4 linked regions of the Caenorhabditis elegans genome follow. The protein of the gene in region 1 purifies or fractionates together with the protein of each later gene. This does not show direct contact. Each region holds a gene or a part of one and is shown on either strand. Other genes may lie near its edges. The genes, in order: pbs-2, rpn-5, rpn-13 and rpn-7.

Region 1 (3,651 bases):
GCAAAATGATTTGAAAATGTTGAATTTCAACTTGAAGAAGCTTCACGTCTTCAAAATTCGATTTTACGTGAAAACAAACATTTTTGAAAGGGCCGGAACACGGCCGAATGAGGGTAAACTATGGAAAACTGATAAAATAATGATAAAATTTGGAATTTTTCGGAAAAACGACACTGATTACGACGGGGAAGGCAGGGAAATGAGTCAGAACAAGATACAAAAAAATGTTTCGCGCCAATGATTGGTGGGTGGAGCGTGTTTGCTATATGACCTGCACATCTAACTCTCTGCGCGGCAATTCAAATCGGATTATTTTTTTCTTGTGAGTTTTGACTCTTCTCTCTTGACTTTTGAGAAGAATTCAGGTGGAAATTAGTTTTTCGCAGAAAGTTTTCAATTCAGATCTGGAAAATCTATTCATTTCGCAGTTTTTTCCTTTTAAAACCCGGAGAGTAACTTTTACTATTGGGAAAAACACTTGAAAGCGTTTTTCAAGTCATTTTTCCGGCTTTCAGTCCAAATTAAGACAACAAACAATACCAGTTTTAAGGAAAATAGACAGTTTATATTCGGAATTTATAAAACAAATGTGATAAGAACTGCCGGCGGATACGAAAATACCGAAAAAAGTAATCACCGACGACACCGAAACGGATGGAAAATCGAAAAAAAATAAATAATTGGGGGAAAGAATACACACATCGACAGAAGACCGCAATTTAGTGAGTGATATCCATGGACTCGACGACGTCGTACTTGTAGGTCTTGTGTTTCAGCACCTTGGTGGCTCCGGCCTGGAATTTGTAGACGAGGTCGTTGGGCTCTGGTCGCTTGCAGAATTCTGGCACAATTGGCCCCTTGAAGACGGTCTCGCTTGGCTCGATGATCACAAGATTCAAACTGTTTCCTGAGGCGTTGTCACCGTGCATACCGGCTTCCAGGGCGCGTTGGACAAGCTTCTCGGCTTCATCTTTCTGAAAAATATAATTATAGTATTTTTAGCGCATTGGAATTCAAAAATAGACTACTTACCGTCATATCAACCTTAAAATCACGCTCCAAAATAGTGATAGCTGCATATGATCCAGATCCTTGAGCTGTGAATGGGAAGGCCATTGTAGTTCCGTTGGCGGAGCACATATAAAGATGTGGGCCAGTTGGATCGACTCCTCCAATGAGCAAGTAGGCTCCGATGTATCCTTGATAGTTGAAAAGATGCTGCTTAGCTTGACGAAGAGCGGTGATCACACGAGCCTTGCGCCCGGTGTTTAATTCCAGAAGACGGAGATTTCCAGAGAGCATCTTTGTGACTTGATCGAGATCGGCGGCGGTTCCGGCTCCGCAGGCATAGATCGACTCAGTGAGCTTGTGAACCTTCTCGCAATGCTTATCGGCGATGATATTTCCGGCGGTGGCACGGGAATCAGCTCCCATCACAAGTCCGCCCTTGAAGGCAACGGCGACGATGGTGGTTCCGGTACTGGTGAGCTTTGGAGCCTTTCCGCCCATCTTGCACATTGCCTGATTACGAATGCAGTTGGAGAAGTCGAACGCGCCTCCACGGTCCATGTCCATGTGTGGGACGGTGGATTTGACGTCAGCGGTGGCCATTCTGGAATTAATGTTGTATTTGAAAAGATCTCACAAAACATTTTGAGAAAAAAAAACAATAAAAATGACAGGAAAAATACGGAAAACCATCTAGAAAAAACTGATTAACGAAAAACTTCGATTTCCCTGATTTCTGCTGTCTCACAAGTGATTTTCTGCAGATAACCTATTCAATAGCGAACTTCCACTTAATTTCTACAAATTTTTAATCAAAAATACGCTAGAAAAGCAGGAAAAATGGTGGAAAACTTCGAAAAATGTTGGAATGCTGACAAAAAGATTTTTCAAAGTCATCGCAACGACACTCCGAAATAACGCAAATTTGTAGAGTTCCGTGGAGCGTGTTTGCACCAAAAAATTTCCGTTAATTTTATTTTATTTTTCAATTGAAAATCTCTGCCTAAAACTTTTAATCTTAAGTTTTTCATTGACTTTTTGAGTTTTAAAATTCAAAAATTGAATTTTTCGTTCATTTTTAAGTAATTTCATATAAAACTGCCTATAGAAAATGAAAATTCCCTGTTATTCAATATTGCACAACATTTCGAAGCTCCGCCCATTTGTAGTTTGTATTTGTCTTGCTAACACCCATTCTTTCTCGTTTTTCCAATCAATTTTTACTATTTTCTCGATATTAAATCAATTAATTTTCAAAAAAAATTCCAGTTTCCCGGTTGAAAATGGCTCTCCGCGTCGATTACGAAGGATCGAACGATGTCGGTGTGTTCTGCACCCTCACCAACAGCTACTGCCTCGTCGGCGTCGGTGGCACTCAGAACTTTTACAGTATTTTGGAGGCCGAGCTCAGCGATCTCATCCCAGTCGTGCACACGTCGATCGCCTCGACCAGAATTGTCGGAAGACTTACAGTCGGAAATCGTCACGGACTTCTCGTACCAAACGCCACGACTGATCAGGAGCTTCAACACTTGAGAAACTCGCTTCCAGATGAGGTATGCGGGCAGGAAATTGAGAATAAATATTTAAAATTTGAATTTTCAGGTCGCAATTCGCAGAGTTGACGAGCGTCTTTCCGCTTTGGGAAATGTTATCGCTTGTAACGACCACGTCGCTATTGTTCACGCAGAAATTAGCGCAGAAACTGAGCAGGTAAGGAGAAATCCTACAGAACTGCGACTTTCAGTGTGATATTCCCACTTTTTTAATCGAAAGTTAGTAAAGAATCGTCGAAAAATGTTCGATTGTTCTGAAAATGATATTTATTTTTTGTTCAAAAGTTCGAAAAAGACCCAAACTTTAGTCGGAAACGGACAATTTTCATAACTTTCTTATTAATTTTTGATTCAAATGCTTGGCTTAACATACTGAAATTAACAATGTTCACACTACAAACTACAAAAATTCCTAAATTTTCTCTTTCAGGCGCTCGTCGAAGTGCTCAAAGTGGAAGTATTCCGTGTCAGTCTCGCCCAAAACTCGCTCGTCGGCAGCTACTGCATTCTCAGCTCTAACGGTTGCCTCGTGGCCGCCCGTACTCCACCAGAGACCCAACGAGAAATCGCCGCTCTCCTTCAAATCCCAGTCGTCGCCGGAACATGCAACCGAGGATCCGAGCTCATCGGAGCCGGTATGGTCGTCAACGATTGGGTCGCATTTTGTGGACTCGACTCCACTTCTACCGAACTGTCCGTCGTCGAATCGATCTTCAAGCTCGGCGAGCAAGGAGCTCCGACAAGCATCAGCAATCAGCTCAGAGATACTCTGATTGAGAGCATGCTCTAATCTTTTTTCTCACTATTTTTTTGATCTACCATTCATTGTTTTCCCACCTTTTTTGTTGTTGGTTTCCCCGTTTTTTGTTGTCAATGAAAAAACCCCTGAAAAATTCGAATTTTTCTCTCTTAATTCCTTCTTTGATGTCAAATCCTCACAAATTTATACCTTGAATTTCACTTTTAAAAGTACTTTTTACACGCTATAAATTTAATTTTCGCTTGATTTCAGAAGAACACACATCAACTAAACCTACTAGGTGAGTTGGACTCCACTACAAACTACACACAAAACCCTGTAGCCTGA
Region 2 (4,412 bases), on another chromosome or scaffold:
ACGACAAAATTTTGTTAAATGCAAAGGGATGTGCGCCTTTAAAGAGTACTGTACTTTCAAACTTGCGTCGATGCGGAATTTTTATAAATGAAATAAAACATTTTAAACACATACATTTAAAAAAATGTGAGAAAAACGATGAAAATGTCGCAGTAGCGAAAGTTTGAAACTACAGTACACTTTAAAGGCGCTTACCTATTTGTTTTTAACACAAATTTCTCGTTTCGAGACCGGGTACCGTATTCGCGAATACATGAATACATTTCAGAGTGTCGCCGGACTAATCGCTGGACTCATTTCAACACATGCTCTTTCTGAAATCGGATTTGAATATCTTTTCATTGTTTGTGGATGCTTCATGTTGACCTCACTTTTCCTCACTTTTATCGTCCACAAAACCGATTTAGCTCAGTTGTTGGTTTCTGCTGAACGAGAACATTTGGAAGAGGATGAGAATGGATATCAAGTTTATCAGTAATTGGTGCACTCATGTTATAGCTTCTTATCAATTTCCTAGAAAATCAACTCAAACCTGTGATGATCCATTTGTTTCCCGTTACCTCTATCTTACAACTTGTTCCATAAAATTGTTTCTTCAAAAGCTAGTAATACACATTGAGCACGTATACGTTTACTATCAAACCGAAGAGTGAAAGGATGAAATCGATCGACAGTATTAATAAATTAATGATAAAACCGGAGAAGGTGCACGAAAAAGAAGAAATTGGGGAGGGCGAACATCAATAAGAAAAATACACATGATGGCGGAATTATACACAAAAAAGTGGTTAAATTTATGCCCGTGGGGCCGCGAGATCCAAGTTCTTGTGAACCATTTGCTCTTTCAGAATGAGATGGGAAACTTTGTTCAATGTATCCGTCAGTTTGTGCACGTTGCTCGCCCATACATCCAATTGCTCAACATTTGCCTTTTTCAAACGAAGATTGACAATACGGGAAGGGCGATGAAGTTTTGCTCCGGTGATCTGACCGGTAACAATGAGGTTACACACAAATGATTCCATTTCATCAACTGGGAAGTCGAGGAGCTCAGCGAGACGTTCGAAAGTGATTTGAGTATAGTACTTGGCAATCATACGCATGTTCTGTAAAAATACAAATAAAAATTTATAAATTTTAACAGGTTTTTAACTTATTAAAATTTTAACTTACGTGCTCTCCAACACGAAGGTGCAAATCAGACCACCGCTTCTCTCCTTCAGTTGATTTGTCGAAAATTCCGGTGTCTGGTGAGCTAGTTGTTCCACGTCTTAAAAGCTTCTCGTACTTTGCGACAATGGTTCCTTTGAAAGAAATGAGTTCTTGGTTGATGAAAAGATCCAGAATGATCTGAAAAGAAAACAATAATTAGATTAAATTCAAATCGCACAGCTTACCTTGTAGTCTGGAACGGTTTCCAATTCTCTTTGAATGGCAATTCGGTTGAGGAGATCCCATTGCTCGTTTGTGTGCGGAGCCAAAAGACAGTAGACAATGGCAGAACGAAGATGTGAGGTCGCCTTGGCTGAATCAGCTTTAATCTTTTTCGTCTCATAAATTTCACGATGATGACGGCACACGTCCAGATAGTTTCCATCGTGAAGTCCGATACGGATCATCGAATCGTAGTATTTCAGCTTCAGGTTCTGTACTTCATCTTCGTCTGACTTGTTGAAGAACTTGATATTGATTTTCTTAGAGATAATAGTGGCTCGCACAAAATCATTACGAACGAGAGAATATCTCATTTGCTCGAGAAGGTATTGCACCTTCTCTCGCATTTCCATGGAGCCATATGTTTCCACTTGAAGTTCAAGAAGCATGGTTGCAGCTTCGTCAAGCTTTCCCTCTCTCTCCAACTTCTTCACAACCATCGAGGTGAGGCGAGCACGTTCCACTTCCACATAGATCTTTCCAGCTGTAACAGTGCGAAGAGTTTCAATAAGCTTCATCTTGAGGTCCTCGGTTGGCATTTTGTCAATCATTGCGACAGCATCACGGACCATCTTTGCGATAGCCATTTTGATGAGAAGTCTTTTCTTTGAAAGCGTCATGATTGTTTCCATAAGAAGATCCCATTTCTGCCCTTCGAAACAAAGCTTCGTCTGCAAATATCAGAATTAATATTTTTTTTTTAATTTGAAAAGTATTATCACCATATATTGAACAACGCGTGTATTGCTCTTCATGTCAGCTCCAAGACGAGTGAGCTTTTCGATGTTGTTCAGACTCTCTACAGCAGCAACAGCGTCCTTTTGAGCGATATCTCGGGCTTTCAGAAGTGCTTCGTCGACTTGTTTCGAGTAGTCCTGCTCCATTTTGAACAAACGACCATCTCCACCCTGAAAATCATTTAATGAAATCTACAGATAAATTCTCGAAAACGTTTTAAAACTTACATGAGCGGCCAAATGAGCCAAATTGTCAAGTTCGCTTAGTTCTCCGACATCGACCGGGTCAACCGGGATCGGTTCGCGTCTGTCGGCCATATCTGGAATAACAATAATTAGAATATATAGTTCTGCTTTTTTAATTGAAAAATAACTTCAAAACCTATAAAAATATTACTTTTAAATGCACAAAAATTTTAAAGGTAGAGAGTAGAAAATAATTATTTCTTGAGTGACAATCCGCACAGCTGAAACGAGTGTTACCGTACCTCAAATCGCGGTAAGACCCAGGAGGAGGAAGACAAAAATATTTGAAAACGATTTTTCGAGCGTTTTGTCTTCATCATCAGAAATTTACCGCATTTTCAATGTTTGCCTCATTTTAAAACTATTGCTTCTCTCATTGTGATCATTTGAACATACTTATTCTTCCAGTTTTTGCTCTTTTATCATGTTTTCTCAGGAATTTTCTAATCTATGATCTCTTTGACGTTAACAATCTATTGTTTATCTCATGCTATTTTCAGATGTTCTATGCACAGTTCGTTCTCGCCAAAAAGGGACCGTTGGCAAAAGTGTGGCTGGCAGCTCACTGGGAAAAAAAGCTGACAAAGGCGCAAATCTTCGAAACAGATGTTCCCCAAGCGATCGAGGAAGTCATTCGCCCCAAGGTTAAAATGGCGCTCCGAACAGTTGGACATCTTCTCCTTGGAATCGTGAGAATCTACTCGAAGAAGACACGATATCTTCTGGCTGATACAAATGAAGCGTATCAAAAGGTAATTAAAGATAATTTAGAACGACAAAAACAAAGTAAATTTTCAGATGAAGATTAACTTCCGCAACGGATTCAGTTTTGAAGTCGACATTCCAGAGAATGCAGAAATTGAAGAGGATTTCTCAAACTTCATTGATAAGTACAATATCACAGTGCCCGAGTTCCACGATGCCGACTACAATGAGCAGCTCATTATGGTGCGTTGTATTAAAAGCAATTCACATTCAATTTAATCGCTGTTTCAGGCTAATGTGAGCCGTCGTGAAGACATCACCATGAAAGAAACCGTCAATTTCAATGTCGAGTTCAACATTGACGCAGATTTCGATGGGTTCGGTGACGAAGGAGAATCTTGGCAACTCGATCATCTCTACGGATCGGTGGAACCTTTGTCTTTGCGCCCCACTCCTCAGCCAGAATCGTTGATGGAAGTCGAACGAGATCGTGATGTGGCTGCAAATGGAACGGAAATTTCCCGTATAGATGCGGATAGTGTGATTTTCTCCGAAGGACCAACACGTCCAAATCTTATTTTTGACAATCAGGAAGGCGGAAATTTCATGCCTGAAATGAACCTGAAGGTTGAGAATCAAACACTGGAAAACGATGGTGGTGTTGGGCCTGCTGATATGTTCAGCTCAATGATTCATCCCGTCAGAGAGCATGCTGTCGCAGATGTTCAAAACGACGATGGTATGGACTTTGACTATCAACCGTTCGAGCCTGAAAACGTTGAGCCATCGAGACCACAAAGTCCCGAGTCATTTGCCCTGGAGCCTCTAGATGTGGAGCACATGGAAGGACGGAAAAAACGTCAGAGAAAAGCGAGAAAGCTGATTGTCGATGCTGAAACTATGATTTCAAACGACGCTTTCCGAGAGCAACAAGAAGACTTCTCCGATACGATGCGAGTAGTTGAAATGGCGCCTCCTACCAGAAAGATGTTCAATTTATGCGTCAGCGGAGATCTTCAACACCTCAGCCGTGAACCTGGATGCAAAATGTTCAACAGAGAACTCCTTCAAAGATACAGGAGATGTTTGGTCACCCGAGAGTTCGATCTCAATTACACCATGCAAGAGTTGAGCGATAGTTCGAGTTTCACTCCGTCAATGGAAGCTCAAGCTGAGCCATGGGAGGACTTGAACCTCAATGAGGACATTCAAGAAGATATTCAAGCGCAGGGACCAGCCGTTGATGAATTCTTTAATGATGTGCGCATGGATGATGATGATGACAGACAA
Region 3 (4,404 bases), on another chromosome or scaffold:
AACAATTTTTTCATTGCAATTTTATTATCAATTGAAAATGATAACAGTTCCAGAGAACCAAAAGTAGTTCTCTGAGTGCTATACGATAAGACATCACCAGAGTAAAAATATAGAAACGAACCAGCCCAAGAAGCTCCAGCTCTTTTCTTCAAATCGATTGGCGACAGAAGAACGTATGGGCCCAAAATATTCGAGAAAATCGTCAAAAGACGATAAGCCACAGCTGCAAGAGCCACGTATCCGGCTCCAACCAAGAAGCACTGGCAAGCCATGTTACCTGGAATTTACAGAATTTCAATGGAAATAACAGGCAGAAAAGATGCAAGGTGCATAAATTATACACTATTTATTTACCGTTTTCAAGATTATCTATATCATGTAAATTGTCAGACGACTCCATTATTTCTTGTAACTATTTATTTATGACGAAAACATATGAAAACTAAAAATTTTCATGAGGTCACGTTTTTACTTTTTTGAAACTCATGCACTCCAATAAACTTTGAAAAATATAAAACTAATCGCTACTATTACGAGTTCTTTCCGAAACTTTCAAATTGATGGTAAAAAGGGTTTATTTGCAGTACTTTACAATGAATAAATAAGTTCTCGAAATGGAATAAAAATGGGGACGTCTTGAAGGTCGAATAAATGAAAGAGAGCGAAGAGAAGTGGTCGATAAACATCGCTCTACTATCTTATCACACCATTTCTGGCATGATGAAGAAATACTAAAGGGACGAGTCGGAAAAAGAGGAACACGGAGAACACAGTTTAAGGGGGAATATGCACAAAAGTGATGAAGAATTTGTTTATTCAGAGAGTTTAATCGACATCCATATCTTCGTTGTCTGGACGGTTGCGCTTTGGCTCTGGTTCGCGAGTGGCGTCATCGTCCGAGTTTTCTGCAAACAATTAACAATGGTTATTGATGTTTTTATCAAAAGTACAGAGGTTTACGGTACTGTAAAAATTGTTTTTGAAATAGCAAATGGATAGGTGTTAAGTGTTAAGAGCAGCAAAATTTTACAAGGAATGGCGCAATGGTCATAGTGCGAAAGGAAACAAAAGGACAATCACAATTAGTGACATATTCAAAAATGAGTAAAAACTCAACAACTGAGAGTGCGCCGTACCTAGCCGAGACACCGTTGCCGCAATTGAGGGGGAAAAGAAGCCGAGATAAGCGGACGGCATCACAGCTCTCCGGCAGATCGGGTTATCAACCCGTGCTGAACGAACGTGAGACTATGTTTCAGAATTTCAAGTAAACTTACGAGTCTTGGCAGCATCTTCTCCTCCCTCAGCCTTTGTGAGATTAGCAGCAAAACCACGAATATCACCTTGATTCGCGGAGCCAACTGTGGCTTCATCCATTCCGAACTGTGCAACTACTGGCCCGAGTTGACCAGTTTGAAGTGCATGTCCAAGTGTATCAGCAGCCTGAAAATAGAGAACAGTTAAAATATAATATGCTTTAAAAACCAACTTGTCTGAATTGCGGAGTTCTGACTGTCTCAGAAAGCTCCCGGGCTGGATCATCAGAAGTTGGAAGATGCGGTGCGAGCTCTTCAGCGTGGTTACGAGCAACTTCAGCAACCGTTTCATTCGACAGAGCAGTTGCCAGAGAGACTGCCACCTCTTTCTTTTGTGAGCGTCCCAAGTTGTTGAAGATTTGTTGAATCGCCGGGTTATTCAAGGAAAGTGGATTTGAAGATCCTTCCTCAGCTGCATTCGTCGAAGGCTCGCAGTCTGCTTCTGACGATGCGTCCTCTCCTCGAGGCACGGAAGAAATTGGAAGAGTGTCAGAGTTTCCGCCTTGCAGAGATTGAATCAATGACATCAATTGCCCTTGATCGATGCCTCCAAGGGGAGCATTCATGTCTGAGCTAGAGATAAGTGATCCTCCAGCAGACTGACGATCAGTGTTTGCGTTAGAACCAGCCGATCGGGAAGCAGCTGGACGAGATGTCGGCGGCTTGTTCAGAGCGTCAGTGACCTTCTTCACAAGATCCTTGTCAACGTCTGGTGTTGAATCTTGAATCCAAAAAAGCTTCATATCTCCAGATTTGAACTTGAGCATATACACTTTGCCATCAGGGCATCCAGGAACAGCTTTGAATTCAGCGTCATCGGGGAAGATTATGAGGTCATCAACAACTGCGCCAGTTTCACGATCCTTCCAGCAAAAGTGGATGAGCATGTCGTTACTTTGCTTAATGAATACCAATCCCTTTTTGGGTTCAGCAACAACTTTTCTCATAGTATCTCCGGATCCAGCTTCAAGGCGAGAGCGTCCAGCTTTGAATTCGACAATATGGCCAGAAGAGGAAGCGACCGAGCGAGTATTACTGAACATAGCAGCCATCTCTGAAATAAATAAATGAATGTTTGATAAGGAAGCTGAAAATACCAAGATGAAAAAATAGAGAACAAACTTGCAAAATTACGAGGAATGAATATCACAAATAAACTGAAGTATTGATAATTGATTTGGAAAGTAACATGTCGGACAGAAACAAATTATTTCCCGTCAAAAAAAATTAAATTCAAATAACTAGTAAAAATATAATGTCTTTTTTAATATTTAAAAGATAACTCGAATTGAAGAAACAATTGTTAACAATATTGTTCCAAATTTGGCTAAAAAAGGATGACTTTTCTCGTGGTGCATTTGCTCGTGGTGTTCAGTGCTTGCGTACAAAACGCTGTTTCCGAATGCACACCGTACATGCGATATTTTGTCACGTTTTGTGTTCTATTTTTCTGTATTTAACTTGTCCTCCGCTCGTTTTAAGACGAATTTGCCTCATTATTTTTTTACCCAATATCTTAAAAATCAAACCACTTTATTCAATACATTATTTTGACAAAATCGGTCTCTGCAAAATTTGAGAATGCCAATTACCGATTAGTATTAGTATTTTTAAAACAAATTCACTGGGTATACACGATGAGTATTAAAACATATTAGTTTAGTTGTCAATATCATCCAGTTCAAAGCTGTTTTTGCTCTTTTTCTTCATCTCCTGAGCCTCCTTCATCTGAGAGAATGGCCCACTTGCCGAACCAAGTGAGGTCTTGCTTTCCTTTGATTTCAATGTTTTCGTTTTACCCGTCTTCATAGTGGTCGAGTCGGTTGTGATGTCAACTTAAAAAGTAATTTTAGATGTCTACGTGACTTTTTTTTAAAGATCTACCGATGTTGCGCATCATAGTTGCTGCCTCAAAGATCCCGAGACCAACATTTTGGGGACTTCCTAGTCCTGGAGATTCCAAACTATTGCTCCGCTGCGAGGAAATCGTTTCCTTCTCTTTCTCCACACCACCCTTTCCTACATTCAGCGACATCGTTGACGGTTTTTGGTCGCTTTTCTTGATAGATTTTCTTTTCTAAAATTTCAGATAATCAACTATTTTTTCAACAAATTAAAAATTGACTTACCGGGTTCTTGGTCTCCATCTCCGACATGTACTCTGATAGATTGATGATTTTATGAACACTTTTCCTTCGGTTTAACTCACTTTTGTCGTTTTTTGCCTGATCCGATAGTTTCAGATCACGAGTTTTTGCATCCAGGTCATCGAAGATCAATTCTCCATTCTTCTCGGTTCTCTGGAACATTTTTTTCTGATTGAAATTCGTAACCTTGTCGGGTAACGGTTCGTTTTTGAATACAGATAAGAACAAACCTTTGCTTCTTCCTGCTTCTTCTTATGCTCGCTGAACATGGTGTTAGCCGTTAGATGGTGTAGTTTGTAGCAAGTGGCTGAAGCAAAATTGAATAAACCTTTTCTCACGATATTGAGAAAAATAATTAAATCTGAATGCTCAGCTCTAATTTTTTTGTAAAAAATTTATTTGATCAGAATAAGAAGTGATACGCGACTACCAAGAATAGAAGAAAAAATGAAGGGGCGAACGAGTTATGTGTTGAACGCCACAAATTAAATGGAGAACACTAATTTGTACTCGAATTTTGCTTTCCCGTTGACTCATGACAGTGGGAAAATGGGTGGGAGTTTTTCATGAAACTACACGAGATTTATGATAGAAGTTTAAAAAATAATGTCCTACTCAGTCTGAAAAACATTCAGAAAATTTTGGTGATTTTTTTAAATAAGAAATTGTCCAACAAAAAAGACTTTACGAGGATGCAAATATACGAAAGAAGCCTGTCTCGTTTAAAATTACTATTGGGTTCTTTTCAATATTTATATTTTTAAGTCCTTCTAGGGTCATGGAATGTGGCTTTGAAGACTCTTGTCATTCTCTTCCTGGATTGATCGTGGGAAGACCCACAAGAATAAGCCCGTTCTCAAACTTGAATTAAGAAAATTTTAAAGCAGAATGGGATAACCCGAAAAAATTTCAGTAGCTCAAACTGAAAAGCTAATCAGTCC
Region 4 (4,475 bases), on another chromosome or scaffold:
CTGGACTATTTTGTATTTTTTTTTGAATCAGAAGCGAAGTGAATATTGCCATTCCCAACCCCAGGGAAATAAGTTGTTATCCGATGTTATAGTGACCCAGAGACACTAAATAAGCAGAGAAGAGTTTGTAGAAGAGTGATTTAGACGAATAAACGGTGATTTCATTTCACTGCTTTATTTTAAACAGATATGAGATTATTTTAGCCCTATTGACGAATGAATAGGGCAATTTGAATGCATTAAAAACGAATTATGAACACTTATAGACAGAAAAAGTTAATGAGAAGACAGAATAAAACCATTGGTGTAGATTAATTTTGGAGATCAATAAGAAACTCCATAGCCGCTTGCACATCTCCATTCGCCTGTTCGAGAGCCAACTGAATGAGCTCATCATTTTCAAATCCAAACTCGCGGAGAGTCGCAGCTTGTTGTTCATATCCTTGCTGCATTGGCTCTTCTTGCTGCTGTTGCGCTGGCTGGACATTGGCGGGAGCTGGAACCCGATTTGCCGGAGGAACTGCAATGTTTGCCAGGGCTGCTTGGAGAGCCTGAAAAAATTGGCATGGAGAATTTAGTAGAAATATGTATTCAACTATTATTATATTTCAATTATTCTTTTCGAATTATGAGAATCAGTGTGTCCAAGAAATCTTACATTTTGAAGCAACGCATGAGTAACCGGTTGAGCACCTCCAATTGGTCGCTGAGCTGCAAGCATTCCTGGTCTATTTCTTTCCACGTTTGCATAATCAAGGTTTTCGTATCCGTAACGAGATCCTACTGTCGATAGAATATTTTCTACTACTTTCAAGAAATCGGGATTCGTGTACATGAATTGTCCCCGAATTGGATCATCTTTGAAATCGTTCTGAACGCAATAGGCACGGAATAATGACCAATCACTCAGAACAGATAAAAATTGATTATCATGAACCAGCTGTGGGTGTTTCTCAAGAAGCGTTGTCATGTGATCTGGAAGTGCAAAGTCGTGGTTGAAACCATGAAGCCGACGATCATTTGGGCGTGTATATGGGGCGGTACACTCCTTGAGAGCAATACTGATTCGATTTTTTTGCTCTTCTTCGATGTGGTTCTGAAAATCTTAAAATTAATTTGGGTTTCAAACGGAAAAAAACTGACATTTGTTTTAAGCGGTGGAAGCAGCACGACTCTGATTGAATCAGCATCAGTAATCTTTTTTAGGCTCTCTTCATTCAATGCTCTTCCGTTATAAATCAAACCTGAAAAGTGATTGATTCGATAATTGAAGAAATAAATATGATCGATAATTGAAGAAATAAACTTACGGAAACGTTCAACGTTTTTTTGGTCTTTGAATTCGGAAGTACTTTCTGATAAATGCTTGAAGAATTGGATCTGTCCAGTAGAAATTATCTCTTCGATCGGGACTTCACGGCAGGTGGTTTTTAAATGCAATTTAACCATGTTTCTCAATACAACGGGATGGCGGTTGAAAACTGAATGCGAAACAAATGCTCCGTTTCCTGCGTTCAAACGCTAATAACGAGAGCGCTCGATAATGAAAGGATGAATAAAACCGTGCGGCGGAATTGCGAAAGCATGCGCCGCGTATTGCAAACCCTTGTCATCATCCCCGCCCACTTTTATTCGTCCCATTTTGAATTTTTCCCCCAGTTTTCTTGAATTTTGATACGGTTTTGTCTGTTTATGCACTATGAAATAGATATTTTAACGTAGTTTTCACTGTGCCGCTCACTGTAATGTAAAATAAGGCACTATTACGAATTTAAAATAGATATCAACGCTTATTTTCAAAAACTAACAAACTAGACACTAAAATTAATACCAAATCTATATTTCGATAATTACAGCAAATTTAATGAAAACTAACTAAAATGCTATTTCACGTTTGAAATACCATTGAACAGTTTTATTTCCGTTTTGGCCGCTTTTTAACGTTTGCTACAATTTCAAGTGTTCATATTTCATTTTAAGGAGGATGACAGAGGCTGCCAAAAAGAGCACGAAGAAACCCGTAGATGATGGAAACTTCGATAAGGAGGTACGGATCAGTAGTTTTGAAATCATTCAAGTTCAGAGTTTTCAGATCATTTCAAGATGGCCTGATCTTGAGTTATCACAAACCAGATTCATGCTCAATCATCCCGAAGTAGACAGCAGCGTGAAAGAAGCCAAGCTCGAGAAGCTTCAGGAAACTATCAAAGAATTCGACATGGCGCCATTCTACGAGCTTGTCTGCGCTGACTTCAAAATTGTCGTAGATGCAACACAATTGGCTGCAATGAAAGCAGCTAATCAGAAAAAGATCGATGAAATCACCGCAGAAGTTGAAGACGCGGAGAAGAACCTTGGCGAATCTGAAGTGCGTCAGGGATTACTCCGCAAGTTCGAGTACTACTGTCAGATCGGTGACAAAGACAACGCTCTGAAAGCGTACACAGCCACCTATGAGAAGACAGTCGGTATGGGATATCGTATTGATGTAGTTTTCGCCATGATTCGTGTTGGACTTTTCTTCCTCGATCATCATCTCATCAACAAGTTTATCACCAAAGCAAAAGAACTTATGGAGCAAGGAGGAGACTGGGAACGCAAAAATCGCCTTCGATCCTACGAAGCGCTTTACCGAATGTCTGTTCGTGATTTTGCTGGAGCCGCTGATTTGTTCCTTGAAGCTGTGCCAACATTCGGATCATACGAGCTCATGACATATGAAAACTTGATTCTCTACACTGTCATCACCACAACCTTTGCTTTGGACAGACCAGACCTTCGTACCAAGGTTATTCGTTGCAATGAAGTTCAAGAACAGCTGACCGGAGGGGGACTCAATGGAACATTGATTCCAGTTCGTGAGTATCTCGAATCATACTATGATTGTCACTACGATCGTTTCTTCATTCAGTTGGCCGCTCTTGAAAGCGAGAGAGTAAGTTACTAAAACAAATCTTGTATTTTTCACTTATCGTTATATTTCAGTTCAAGTTTGATCGCTATCTATCGCCACACTTCAACTATTACTCTCGTGGAATGCGCCATCGCGCTTACGAACAATTTTTGACTCCTTACAAGACTGTACGTATCGATATGATGGCCAAGGATTTTGGTGTTTCCCGTGCTTTCATCGACCGCGAATTGCACCGTCTGATTGCGACTGGGCAATTGCAATGTCGTATTGATGCTGTTAACGGAGTGATTGAAGTGAATCATCGTGACTCGAAGAATCATCTGTACAAGGCAGTTATCAAGGATGGAGATATATTGCTCAACCGCATTCAGAAGCTTGCCAGAGTTATCAATGCATAACCGAGCCCAGTTCTTCAAACGTGTAAATCCTTTTATTTTACCCTATTCTTCTTCTCCCGTATTATTTCTTTGCGTTAACTCGCTTTGAATCTCCCCACTTCTTCATCATTTCCGGTTGAATGAATTAATTTATTACCATCGCTGTATTTTTAAAACTGTATTCACACTTTCTTGGTCAAATACCAATTGTTTTATTATCTTTAAAATGTTTTTACATGTTATTTAATACCACTTCTTCACTTCTTCACTTCTTCATTTCTTTATTTCTTTATCCACATCGCTGCGATGTAGATCCGCTGTTTATTTTTCAATCGTTCATAAGTTGATGTTCCAGGAGCACAGTACGTTGCTCGCAGCGAGTTTTTGAAGAATTTAACGAAGAAAGGAGCCTAAAATATTTATATACAAATTTTTTAACTTTTGGCCTAGTTTACTTTCTCTAGTAGCCTATCATATTTTCTCGCTGAATATTTTAAGCCCTCAACTACTTCATCAGTGCAAAACTCGAAATGTTTCTTTACAAAACCGGCTGCTGTGGCTGTCTCCTGAATCTGTTTTGCCTGTAATCACTAGCTGTATTTATATAAATTTTACAAGTAGACTAACCTCATGGGGATATCGAATGTCCATGTAGCAGAAGGCACCACCCGATCGCAAAACTCGTGAGCCCTCTTTGAAAAATAGTTTGTAGTCCGAGTAAAGATGAGCTGCTTCCACATTCAAAACTTAATTTCAAGATGTTTTTGGTATTTTTTGATATGATCCTACCAAAATCAAACGAATTATCTGCAAACGGTAAATCTAGTGCATCTCCGTAGACTATGTTATTCATATTTCTAGTGACAACTTTATCACAGCCAATGATGCATTTTGTTGGTCCATGCCACCTGTGTTCCATATTTCTCGTTTTAAAAAAAATGCAAGACACTTACTTTTCTATCCAATCGAGAGAGTACCCTTGACCACAGCTCACTTCAAGAATTTCAAATTGTTCAAAATAAGGATAATTTGGATGCATTGATAATGCTTTTTCATAGAGATAAATATGAGCTCGATCCGACTCTGAACATTTAAATTAACAAGGAAACCTCGATTAGTGTTTTCATTTTACCGTATTCATCTAGGTCACCTAGATCTTCCATGAACATTCTCATTTTTGCGTA

What was found.
Region 2: the proteins of pbs-2 (region 1) and rpn-5 fractionate together in Caenorhabditis elegans (co-fractionation; one large-scale study listed by BioGRID). This does not show direct contact.
Region 3: the proteins of pbs-2 (region 1) and rpn-13 fractionate together in Caenorhabditis elegans (co-fractionation; one large-scale study listed by BioGRID). This does not show direct contact.
Region 4: the proteins of pbs-2 (region 1) and rpn-7 fractionate together in Caenorhabditis elegans (co-fractionation; one large-scale study listed by BioGRID). This does not show direct contact.

What each region holds. Positions count from the first base shown.
Region 1 is NC_003279.8:12,966,669-12,970,319, forward strand, and holds pbs-2 (Proteasome subunit beta), read right to left. Parts: upstream 1,613-3,651; 5' UTR 1,612-1,612; coding exon 1,033-1,611; intron 975-1,032; coding exon 720-974; 3' UTR 548-719; downstream 1-547. Other genes in the region: eif-6 (Eukaryotic translation initiation factor 6), read left to right, coding at 2,292-2,564, 2,614-2,721, 2,995-3,354.
Region 2 is NC_003280.10:4,695,804-4,700,215, forward strand, and holds rpn-5 (PCI domain-containing protein), read right to left. Parts: upstream 2,492-4,412; 5' UTR 2,490-2,491; coding exon 2,400-2,489; intron 2,343-2,399; coding exon 2,157-2,342; intron 2,106-2,156; coding exon 1,398-2,105; intron 1,351-1,397; coding exon 1,174-1,350; intron 1,107-1,173; coding exon 795-1,106; 3' UTR 618-794; downstream 1-617. Other genes in the region: F10G7.5 (MFS domain-containing protein), read left to right, coding at 269-478; scc-1 (Sister chromatid cohesion protein 1), read left to right, coding at 2,918-3,169, 3,216-3,365, 3,414-4,412.
Region 3 is NC_003281.10:6,339,556-6,343,959, forward strand, and holds rpn-13 (Proteasomal ubiquitin receptor ADRM1 homolog), read right to left. Parts: upstream 2,374-4,404; 5' UTR 2,369-2,373; coding exon 1,490-2,368; intron 1,444-1,489; coding exon 1,278-1,443; intron 1,233-1,277; coding exon 1,137-1,232; intron 906-1,136; coding exon 826-905; 3' UTR 558-825; downstream 1-557. Other genes in the region: Very-long-chain 3-oxooacyl-coA reductase let-767, read right to left, coding at 122-277, 355-400; C56G2.9 (DUF4604 domain-containing protein), read right to left, coding at 2,976-3,151, 3,201-3,393, 3,446-3,477, 3,526-3,616, 3,694-3,732. UniProt on the Caenorhabditis elegans protein: May function as a proteasomal ubiquitin receptor. May promote the deubiquitinating activity associated with the 26S proteasome.
Region 4 is NC_003282.8:9,314,659-9,319,133, forward strand, and holds rpn-7 (26S proteasome non-ATPase regulatory subunit 6), read left to right. Parts: upstream 1-1,980; 5' UTR 1,981-1,984; coding exon 1,985-2,047; intron 2,048-2,092; coding exon 2,093-2,935; intron 2,936-2,985; coding exon 2,986-3,312; 3' UTR 3,313-3,572; coding exon of another isoform or gene 3,573-3,701; 3' UTR 3,702-3,746; coding exon of another isoform or gene 3,747-3,872; 3' UTR 3,873-3,918; downstream 3,919-4,475. Other genes in the region: F49C12.9 (UBA domain-containing protein), read right to left, coding at 312-551, 659-1,096, 1,144-1,244, 1,311-1,449; nemt-1 (Methyltransferase type 11 domain-containing protein), read right to left, coding at 3,573-3,701, 3,747-3,872, 3,919-4,037, 4,081-4,199, 4,245-4,374, 4,424-4,475. UniProt on the Caenorhabditis elegans protein: Acts as a regulatory subunit of the 26S proteasome which is involved in the ATP-dependent degradation of ubiquitinated proteins.